Linked DNA regions of Macaca mulatta. The protein of the gene in region 3 purifies or fractionates together with the protein of the main gene of each other region. This does not show direct contact. Links are inferred from orthologs where the notes say so. Each region holds a gene or a part of one and is shown on either strand. Other genes may lie near its edges.

What was found. Proteins that work in one complex are often made in the same cells at the same time.
Region 1: the proteins of NF2 (region 3) and AMOTL2 purify together in Homo sapiens (affinity purification with mass spectrometry; 5 studies listed by BioGRID and IntAct, with this or other methods). This does not show direct contact. The link is inferred for Macaca mulatta from reciprocal best matches to the Homo sapiens genes NF2 and AMOTL2.
Region 2: the proteins of NF2 (region 3) and AMOTL1 purify together in Homo sapiens (affinity purification with mass spectrometry; 6 studies listed by BioGRID and IntAct, counting the BioPlex papers as one, with this or other methods). This does not show direct contact. The link is inferred for Macaca mulatta from reciprocal best matches to the Homo sapiens genes NF2 and AMOTL1.

Annotation. Positions count from the first base shown.
Region 1 is NC_133407.1:37,404,928-37,408,595, reverse strand, and holds part of AMOTL2 (angiomotin-like protein 2), read left to right. Parts: intron 1-2,757; coding exon 2,758-3,053; intron 3,054-3,668. UniProt on the Homo sapiens protein: Regulates the translocation of phosphorylated SRC to peripheral cell-matrix adhesion sites. Required for proper architecture of actin filaments.
Region 2 is NC_133419.1:95,656,607-95,660,274, forward strand, and holds part of AMOTL1 (angiomotin-like protein 1), read left to right. Parts: intron 1-1,758; coding exon 1,759-1,884; intron 1,885-2,950; coding exon 2,951-3,177; intron 3,178-3,668. UniProt on the Homo sapiens protein: Inhibits the Wnt/beta-catenin signaling pathway, probably by recruiting CTNNB1 to recycling endosomes and hence preventing its translocation to the nucleus.
Region 3 is NC_133415.1:21,874,643-21,878,310, reverse strand, and holds part of NF2 (merlin), read left to right. Parts: intron 1-2,758; coding exon 2,759-2,886; intron 2,887-3,668. UniProt on the Homo sapiens protein: Probable regulator of the Hippo/SWH (Sav/Wts/Hpo) signaling pathway, a signaling pathway that plays a pivotal role in tumor suppression by restricting proliferation and promoting apoptosis.

The DNA.
Region 1 (3,668 bases), on a different chromosome or scaffold from region 3:
GGTGGGGTGAGGTGGCAGCGGCTTAAGGTCTCTGGGAAGGAGTCAAAGGGAATGAGGGAGAAAGGGGATGGGGCAGCCCTGGGGTTTCCCTGAGGAGTCTGGGGAGGAGAAGCTGCAAGGGCAAGGCAGATTAGGGTGCCTGTGGAGGAAGGCGGACTTTTGGGGCCTGGCTCTGCCAAAGAAAGGAAGCCATGGGGCGGGTTTCTGGGAGCTTGCTAGCGGGTGAGAAGAGGGGGGCCGGCCGGGAGGCGTTTCCGCTCCCCGGGGAGCGAGTGAGCGCCGGGCTGTTCTTGGCTCCTCGCTGGAGCCATTAATCTCGCAGCCGCGGGTGACCTGGATGCCTGGCATTCCAGAGCCGCGAGCTGTTCCGCTCCCGGCCCGCCCCCCGCCGCTCCCTCCCGTGCGCGCTGCCTGGCGCCCTTCGCCCGGCTTTGGGAGGAGGGAGGGTGAGCACAAAGGGAGCCTGGAACGCGGAGGTGGGGGCTCGCTCGCTGCCCAGGGCGCATCCCGGGTCCCCTCGGCGCCTCGCCTGCCTTCCTGCCCGCCTCCGCTGGCCTCCGGGCGTCCTCTTCCCACCGGCACCCGGGCCACTTAATTCTTACTGAGGAGCTCTCCTTCCCGAGATCCCACAGGCCCAGGGCTTTATCAGGGTCCTGTTGGCAGGGGATGGCCAGAGCCCAAAGCCTCCCAGCCCCCACCAAGGCCTTAGAGATTGGACAAAGCTGCAGGAAGCCTCTGGAAGCAGAAGGCTGGGTCCGCTGGCCCCTCCTCCCTCCCCTAGGGTTGGGGAAACCCAGGCAGCTCTTCCTTGCTCCGTAGTAGCTATTGCAAAGGCAGGAAAGATGTGTCTGATTGACCTCCCTTTTATCTGGGGTCAGTCAACACTAGGAAAGTGTGGCCATTATCATCAATGCCATCTGCTTTTCCTCCTAGGCAAGCCACGCAGCCCCCCAGCACTGCCTTTCTGGCCCCTCTAGGCCAGCCGTTCCCCCTGGGGATCTGGCCTTGAGGCCTGAAGCCGGCCTGTTAGCTCCACCCCCTTGAGAATGTTTCTCTTCTCCCTGCGTCTCAGGTTCTCCAGCTATAAGATGAGGCAGTCCTTCCCCACAGAGTCACGCTAAGGCTGAAATGAGATGCAGGCCCTGGGCAAACTGTGAACGCACAGGTGGAGTAGGGGAGGGTCCTCCCTGCCTGAGTCCAAACCTGGCTGCTCCTCCACCCCACTCAATGGATTTCAAGCCAGCGAAGTATGAACACATACGTTTCAATATTATTGGACTTCCCCTTATTTTCCTCCATGCCACAGAATGATACCGTCCTGGGCTCAGCCTTCAAAAATCCAAAACGAACCAAGAGCTAACCTGAGTTGCCTCTGTGTCCTCCTTGCCCTGCCCCAGGGCCCTGAGTAAATGAATCCTCCCTTCCGCATGCCAAGGTCTCAAGCCTTCACTCTTCTGTTCCAGAACTTGTACTGTCCTATATCATAGGTGCTTAGCTACATGTGGCCCAAGAATTGAAGTTAATGAAAACAAATAAAATTTAAAATTCAGTTCTTCCATCTTACTGGCCACATTTCCAGTCCTCAGTAGCACGTGTGTCTAGTAGCCACTGCATTGGAGGGTGCAGTATAGAACAGTTCCACTCTGGCAGAAAATTCCACTGAATCAGAATGCTGTTCTAGAGACAGTGCCTTTAGGTTCACTAGCGGGGGCCCACAGCCCTGCCCCGCCTCCTGCTCTCCAGCAAGGTAGGCAGCTGACCCACTCCTCAGGGGGCAGCCTGGGACTCTCAAGGGGCAGGTGCCTGGGAGGTGGATTTAAGGCTAGAGCATCAGATGGAGGGCTCTGTGGTCTGGTTTGGGCCTTTCCTGGCCATGCTGAGAGGGCCTCTGAGCAGAGTTTCTTTGGGTAATTAACAAAATGATACAAAAGTCAGGATAGCTGGACCCTTACACACTAATCCTTGTGCCATAGTCATTTTCATTGTGCTGCAGACTTTGCATTTCTTCCTGAGCCTGGTTGCTTGCATCTCAGTGATCTTTTCAGACCATGGAGGGAAATGTAGCCCTCAACGGACCTCTCGGCCTGGGTCTGCAGAAGGAGCCCCAGAGCTCTGGGTGGCCTCTAAGTACAAACGCCTCACCACGTAGCCAGAGGCAGCCTGGGCCTTTGTAGTGTGGCCAGCTGGAGTTTCCATTTGGCAGCACCATTCACCTCCTATGTTCCTCCGCTATAAGTTGGGAATCCCAAATCCTACCTGGAGGGGCTGGAGGATTCATGGAATAAGATGTGTAAGTGCCTGGTGTGTGGACAGCAGATGGTGGTTCTGTTCCCTCTTCCTTCATTCTCCCACTTGAAGGAGGACCATGTCACAGACCACCTGAGCCTCTGTTTTCTCATCTGTACACAGGCATCACAGTTCCTACCTCAGCAGTCTCTAGCCGTCACAAGGTTCAAGGGATATTGTGGATGTGTTTTAGACATGGTGGCCCCCGGCACAAGTGGATGGTGTTTGGGGCTGTCCCATGGCAGTGTGTCCCAGTAGAAAGGCAGGGTAGCCCAGTTGTTTACTCCTGACTTAAACCTGAGCCTCGGTTTCTTCTTCCATGAAACAGGGTTAATAAGGGTACCTTATTCGTGTTACTGTTGAGAGAATGAGAAGCAACTGTGCTCATCCAGTGGTCAGCACAGAGCCCAGGAGGCAATGGCGCCAGCCAATGTAGTCACTGTCACTGATCAAGCCTCTCTCTCCCTACAGGCTACGAGCAGCAGCAGGAGCAAGAGAAGCTGGAGCGAGAGATGGCACTGCTGCGCGGTGCCATCGAGGACCAGCGGCGGCGTGCCGAGCTGCTGGAGCAGGCTCTGGGCAATGCGCAGGGCCGGGCGGCTCGAGCCGAAGAGGAGCTGCGCAAGAAGCAGGCCTATGTGGAGAAAGTGGAGCGGCTGCAACAGGCACTCGGGCAGCTGCAGGCAGCCTGTGAGAAGCGGGAACAGCTGGAGCTGCGTCTGAGGACTCGTCTGGAGCAGGAACTCAAGGCTCTGCGTGCACAGCAGGTGAGCTGAGAAAACCTGTGCAGGTGTCCAGGCTAGGGCAGCATCTGAGGATGTCAGCTTCCCTTCGTCCTCGGGGACTGTAGGTTTGGAGGCCAGGGCTGAGGCCCCAGGAGCCCCTAGTTAGATCTAGGCTGCAGGCCCCTTGCAGGGCGGCAAGGATGATTGCTCTCTGCTCCACCTTTGCTGCGTGCTCCCTTCCACTTGTCGTCTTAGCAGAGGCCCTGCCACCTGGCCCACATCCAGCCTCAGGGGACTCCTGTCCTCGGCAGCAGCAGGGTATATTGTCCTTGACCTCTAGAGAAAGTAAGTTAGGAACCTGGATATAGAAGGCCCTCGAGCTTTTTTTTGTTTGTTTTTTTGAGATGGAGTCTCACTCTGTTGCCCAGGCTGGAGTGCAGTGGCGCAATCTCCGCTCACTGCAACTTCCGCCTCCCAGGTTCAAGCGATTCTCCTGCCTCAACCTCCTGAGTAGCTGGGACTACAGGCACGTGCCACCACGCCCAGCTAATTTTTGTATTTTTAGTAGAGATGGGGTTTCACCATATTGGCCAGGCTGGTCTTAAACCCCTGACCTCATGTCATCCACCAGCCTTGGCCTCCCAAAGTGCTGAGATT
Region 2 (3,668 bases), on a different chromosome or scaffold from region 3:
GACCTTATTCTTAAAGACATACGAAACTTGCAGGAGTATAGAGTGATGGTTAGGGGCATGGACTTTGGAGTCATAAATACCTGAGTTAGAATCAATTTTCACTATTCACTAACTGAGTATTCTTGGCAATGTCACCTAACCCTGGTTTCTTCATCTAGAAATTGAGGATAATAATACTTCGTGCACAAGTTGGGAGAACTAAATGAGAGACCATGTGTACCATGCCCTACCCAGTCCCTGTGTGAAGCTGATAGCTGTCATTAAAGGGGCCTCAATTTTTCTGTTTTGGGTTATTCTGTTAAAAAAAAAAAAAAAAAAAAAAGCTTTAAAGTTTTCAGGCCGGTCACGGTGGCTCACATCTGTAATCCCAGCACTCTGGTAAGCCAAGGCAGTTGAATCACCTGAGGTCAGGAGTTTGAGACCAGCCTGACCAACATGGTGAAACCCCGTCTCTACTAAAAATACAAAATTAGCCAGATGTGGTGATGCATGTCTGTAATCCCAGCTACTTGGATGACTGAGACAGGAGAATCGCTTGAACTCAGGAGGCGGAGGTTGCAGTGAGCTGAGATCGTGCCACTGCACTCTAGTCTGGGCAACAAGAATAAAACTCCACCTCAAAAAAAAAAAAAAAAAAAAGTTTTTCAGTATGATTGTACATTGGAACATGAAGTTAAAAAGATGTGAAATACTTGGCTACATTATGTCTTACTAATTAGGTACTCATGTAGTCAGAGCCATTATTGTGCCTTTCATCTTGAGATATATCACTTAGATGACGCAGTGATCTTATTTTTACTAATCATTGTTAGTTAGCAGCAATTGTCAAAACCAGTGGCAGGAATAGTTATCTGTGACTGGTTGTTTATAGTCAGACAGATGCTTGCAGTGAAACTGCTTCTTAATTTACTTGTGTCTGCCCTTGCCCTCACTGCACCCACCTCACCTGAACTTGTCAAGGACAGTGTCTGCCTTCGTCTTTCTGCCCTGGGCCCTGGGATGCCTGTTACCTTGTCCTGACCTGCATCCCAGGCAGGGCCCATAAAACAAGAAGTGAGACAGAATACAACATGAACGAAGACCTCAGCTTGGAGCCTCACTCTCTGAGAGGACCAGTCTCAGTTTTAAGTATTTACTGAGCCCCCATTTTACTGTAAAATACTGAAGTAGGCATTCTATGCTATATGGGCGATAAACAGAAATAAAACCTAAACTCTGATGGGAAAGGTGAGGCATAGGACAAGCATGAAAAAGTACAACCATGGAAATACCAACAAATATTATAATAATAATAATAATAATAGAGTCTATATGTTAGTAGATTAAATCTCTAGGTGCCCGTTTTACATATTCATAACATGCCATGTAGTTAAATACATAATGTAGTCACAGGGCAGAGGGGACTTGATTTTTGAATTTTTTTTGTTTTCCTTAGATACTGCTTAATTCTATCTAGTTTAGGAAGAGAATTGGACAGAATTCAGGAGAGGAAAAGTGGGTGAAGGAATTTGTGGAGTTTTAGCACAGCACCCTGTGGTCACCTCTCCACAAGCATTTACACCTTTCTCTGTATGGGCATCAGATGAGATTGATAACTGAGCTGAGGAAATTGGGAGGGAAGGCCTTCATGGGCCAGTGGGAGATGCAGAGCTGATCTCTGTTCCAGCATGAACACCAGCCTCTCCGTTCTGTGTCTGTTTGCATTGAGACAAAGCAAGAAGGTTTCCCGTGATCAAACACATATCCTTGTGTTGCCAGGGACACCACAATCATCAACCACTCACGGAATGGCAGCTACGGAGAGAGCTCTCTGGAGGCCCACATCTGGCAAGAGGAGGAGGAGGTGGTGCAGGCCAACAGAAGGTGTCAGGACATGGAATACACGTAAGGGATGGCTAGGTGTGGCACGTGGGACCTGCCAGCCCATGTTTGCATTCACACTCCAGGCCTTCCAGAACAGATTGCTTCTCTGTCATGTTCTGAAAGGCTGTGAACATGAGGTCTCCCAAAACTCTCCTCCCCCCTGCCGTGCCATGGAGAGAAGCAAAAGGTTCCACTCAGCAATGGGTCCGGTGCCAGAGTTGTCTGGGGGAAATTGCATGTCACCTGCAGGTTTTAAGATGCAGGCTGAGTCTAGTGACAGAAGAATTTAGATGTCTGTGTTATTTCTTGGTGTCTGTGACATTATGAGCTGAAAAGGGGAAACATTATATTCCGAAGGTTCAGAGTTTTTGAGCCAGAATTTATATATTCCAGTCCAAAATAAAGAACATATTTAGCTAATGCACTCTTCTGATGGGCTATACAAAATTTCCAGCAGACTTTTTGACATAATAAAATTAGCCTGTCCCACTTCACTACCTGAGGGCTTGTGGAACCCTGGGAGCCCTAGGCCTCGTATTTTGCAGATGTGAAAATAGGGCTGAGTAGTTGAGCCATTGATAGACAGGCTCAGTGAGTTACTATCAAAGTTGTGAAAATAACTCAGCATTCTTCCAGAAAAATCGTCTTCTACCAGAGGACCTGTTCATCTTGGTTCTTTTTTCTTAGAAAATAGAGAAATTGACTTTAGTTGAAAGCTCACCCTGTTTGAGGCTTTAGAGTTTTTATGCTTCCCTATCCCCTACCTACCCCCAGCCCCCGCCGCCAATGCTAGACCCTCTAAATATGGTCCCCAGCCCACTTCGGTCCAGGAATGTGGCCAGTCATTCTAACCGTACCTCCCTGAAGTCCCAGTCTCCCAAGGTGCCAGAGAAGGGTGTACTCTTTTGACCTATGACCAAAGACCTGTCTTAACAATTTGGAGATTACCAACATTTGAAGACTCGTACTGTGCTTCATCCTCTATCCCTAAATTACAATTAAAGTCCTTGGGACAGCCTGAGATAAATGTTTCAAGTTTTTCTAGCCAAGTGGCTTTTTATGAAGACTGTTTTGTTTTGTTTTACAGTATTAAAAATCTCCATGCCAAAATCATAGAGAAAGATGCTATGATTAAGGTCCTGCAGCAGCGATCTCGTAAAGATGCTGGGAAGACAGACTCCTCCAGCCTACGTCCTGCCCGCTCCGTTCCATCCATAGCAGCAGCTACTGGGACACACTCTCGCCAGACCTCTCTTACCAGCAGCCAGCTGGCCGAGGAAAAGAAGGAAGAGAAGACCTGGAAGGGGAGCATAGGTGGGCCCCACACCTCTGTCAGGCCATGATTGGAAAAGCAAGATCAGACAGCTTCTCTGCCACTCATGGGACATGGAAATGTCCCTGAATAGTTCCTGGTCTCAGTTTACTCATCTGTGAAGTGGGGAGGGAAATCAATCATACTTCAGTTATAGAAATTCAGTGAGATATGTGGAAGCACTGTGTACATTCTAAAGACTGCACCACTGGAGTAGCTCTTAGCCATGGGTTGACTCAGATCATAATTATCTATTATTGTTATAAGTTGAGGTGACCCTTGTAACACAAAAGGCTGTCATGGAAAAGCCTAGAGACCTCACACCTCTGAACTTGGCTGTGCTCTAGACCAGTTGTATGACGGCTCCACCTCTGCTTCCATGTCTAGAAAGGGAGGACAGTGTCTGCCTGCTTTACCCCATGGGGCATGGGAGGGAAGAATGGGATAATGGGGAGAGGACATTGGAAGAAGTGCTGTCTCGCATAAGGTGGGG
Region 3 (3,668 bases):
TTTTGCGTATTTGTTCAGTGTCCACATAGTGCCACACAGTTGGAAGTCTCTGTCCTGACAGGTGTTCTCAGGGTGCACAGGTGCCTAGAGGAGGAGGACACAGCCCAGCCTGGAGGGGCAGGAGAGGCTCAATATGGTGTCTACACTGATGCTTGAAGGAGGAGCAGGAAGTAGCCAGGTAGAGAAGAGAACATAGGGTAGTTAGGGTGAGGGCACAGATGCACACACATGGCCCAGACTCACACACAGCACAGTCATCTACATGGCACATCCATACACACAGCACAGACACACACATGTAGCCATACATATATTCATGTACATGGCACATCCACACACACAGCACGGACACACACACGTACCCATACTTACATTCAAGCACATGGTACAGGCACATACATGACCCAGATGCACACAGGGCACCAGAGCCACAAGCTGCCCAGGGTTTGAGGTGGGGAAAACGTAAGCAGTTTGCTGTTGCCGTATATCCTGGTTCTCTGTTACTATGTAACAACCCACCCAAGCCAACTGTGTGGCCGAAACAACCCTTTATTATACCTCTGGTGGCTTGTTGGGTTGACTGGGCCAGACAGAGATCCTTGCTGGGGATCTCTCTGGTGGTCACAGTCAGATGGTAGCTGGGACTGGAGTCGTCTGAGCACTCAGCTGGGCTGAACACCTGAGATGTGTGTTTTGTTTTTATTTTTTATTTTGTTTATTATTATTATTATTATTTTTTGAGAGAGAGAGAGTTTTATTTACTCTGTCACCCAGGCTGGAATGCAGTGGCAAAATCTCGGCTCACTGCAACCTCCGCCTGGTAGGCTCAAGCGATCCTCCCGCCCCAGTCTCCTGAGTAGCTGGGACCACAGGCATGTGCCACCACGCCCAGCTAATTTTTTTTTTTTTTTTTGGTAGGGACAGGGTTTTGCCATATTGCCCCAGCTGGTCTCAAACTTCAGAGCTTAAGTGATCTGCCTGCCTCAGCTTCCCAAAGTGCTGGGATTATAGGCATGAGCCACTGTGCCCAGCCTCTATGTGTTGTTTTTAAAATATACACTGGAGCAAAGCTTATACACTGCTGTAACTGCTCTCTCCTCTTAGCAGTCAATCCTGGAGGAGATCATCCATATCAGCTTTTTAATCATGTTTTGTTGTGCGGATGGATTGCAGTTCATTTAACCAGTCCCTCACGGATGAGTATTTAGTCTGTTTTCTTTTGCAATTTTGAACAAAATGGCACTGAACATCCCTGAACACAAATCTTGACACACACAAGTGAATATATTGGTAGAATAAATTCTAATAATAGAACCGTGGGGTCAAATTTTCAATTTTGATACTCTTCAAAGAAGTTGTACCAGTTCATGCTCTCACTGATGGTGCAGCAACTAGTACTGGTTTTTGCTGGAAATTTTTATGAAGTATAGCATACATGTAGAGAAGTGCCCAGATTACAACTGTACAGCTTGAAGAATTTTCACAAACTGAACATACCTATGTACCCAGCACCCAGATCAGAAGACAGGACATCCCTGGCACCCCAGGAGCTGTCTCTCAGCACCCCTGCAGACAGTCTGCCTCAGGCCTTGAGAATGTCTCAAATGAATGTTCCAAGCCTCTGCTCTTTCCCAGACAGTGTCCTGGACTCAGTACGGGATCCAAGGATGAAAAAGAGGCAGATTGTTTGCAGGAAACTTGCAAATAGTAGAAAGAAGATACAGCCAAAAAGAAATCTTTTACAGGGTGGAATTGCAGAAGAACCATTAGAGAACTGTAAACACAGCATTAAGGGACAGTAAAGAAAAGGGTTGCCGGCTGGCTGGGAGGGGCTAGAAAGGCTTTGGTGAGAGATCATGGTGTTTGAGAAGGGCCTTGAAAGAGCGATGGAGCATAGGGAGGAGAAATGGGATAGGCAGGGGTACAGAGATGGGAAGGCAGTAGTCCAGGGGATAATAAACAATACTGACTGTGACTTAGTAGGGCAAATAGTAGGAGAAGCCAGGGAGCTAGATTGGGGCCCTCTTTAGATGACCCTTTGTTCTGGGATGAAAGTCAGAAACAAAAACCAAAAAAAACTACACCACCCCTGCTTCAAGACCTACTCCGGTTCCATTGTCCAATCCCAAGCCCCTTGGTGGGCAGGTGGAGCCCTTTGTGGTGGTGCCCATCTCCCACCCCACCTCTCCATACTGTATGGCAGACTCCTGGCACCCTCGCTGGGCAGTGCCCCACCCATTGCCATACCTCCCACCTGGCAAACCTTCTCGTGGCACTGTCTTGGATCCCAGCAAAAGCAGCATCTCTTCTAGCCTCTGTTCGCTCCCTGGCTACAGTGTTTACCTTTTTTAACAGTGATGATCTGTGAACACATCTATTTCCTGAACACAACTTTCAGCTGCTCAAAGCCAAGGATGCTGTCTTGTTTTCTGCATCTCCAGCCCCTCTCACAGGGCCCGGGAGTTTCCTAAATGAAAAAGCGAGTGGGAGTTTGTGTTTGATTCAGCTGAGCGTGAAGAACGGTTAGAGATTTGAGGGGTGAGGGATGACTTTCCTGGATTTGTAGTCTTTGGTATTGTTCACCTGGCAGTGGCAAATGTGGAGGGATTGAAGTGGAGGGGCTCATAGTGGCATTGGGAGATAGGACCTGAGTTGTGCCTATCGCCGCTGTGGCTGCTGGAGGATCAGTTGTCAACACAGTAGTGCCCCTCTGTTCTTGTATGACCCAAGCTCCTAATCCGAAATTTCTCATTAATAGCCCATGAACCCAATTCCAGCACCGTTGCCTCCTGACATACCAAGCTTCAACCTCATTGGTGACAGCCTGTCTTTCGACTTCAAGGATACTGACATGAAGCGACTTTCCATGGAGATAGAGAAAGAAAAGTATGTAGCCCCCTGTGCCCTGCTGTGGGCAGCCATGAACCAGAGTGAGTGATTGGGGCCTTGGGAAGCTGGGGCAGAGGTGAGGGGTTGCTGAAACAGCCTGTCATTAGCTCCTACAAAGGTTTGCTCTGCTCTTACCTGCTGGAGGAAGAATTTCCTTAATTGGAAATTAAGGGACAACAGATCAGCATTCATTCTGAATGAATAAAAATAACACTTGACTAGTGACCTGGAGTTTATGATGGCTCTAAACCTCACTTAAAGTGTAGGACTGGGTTGTTAGCATCTCTGAGTCAGTTCAACTGCTGTTATACTACTGGACTGTAGTCGCCTCCTAGTTGAGTTTTCCAGTGACTGGGATCTACGGTGGTTCCCTTGTCTAGAACAAAGAAAGATTAGAGAAGAGACTCAGGCTCAAGGCTAAGGAAAGCTGACAGCTGGTGGGGCCACTTTGCTGCAGTGGATGGCACTGGGCAGGGCCCCAGCATGGGCTGATCATGGCAGCTTTTGCTGAACTGCCCTCCATCTTCCCTTTATGGTGGGTAGAAGTGGATCAGAGATGGAAAGGAAAGGATCCCCACTGCAGAGGAAGTCTAAGCAAGGGCCCCTAGTTCCCAGAGCTAGTGGTAAGTTGGTTAACTGCCACTGCTTGCCGGAGGACAACCACAGCAGCTACCATGCATTGAGTGCCTGTGTGTCAGGGTTTTTGGCTTTTGTCTCATTTAATTCCTACTAACTGACAAACATCAAACTGACATCAAAGGTAGGTTTTCATGTTCCCA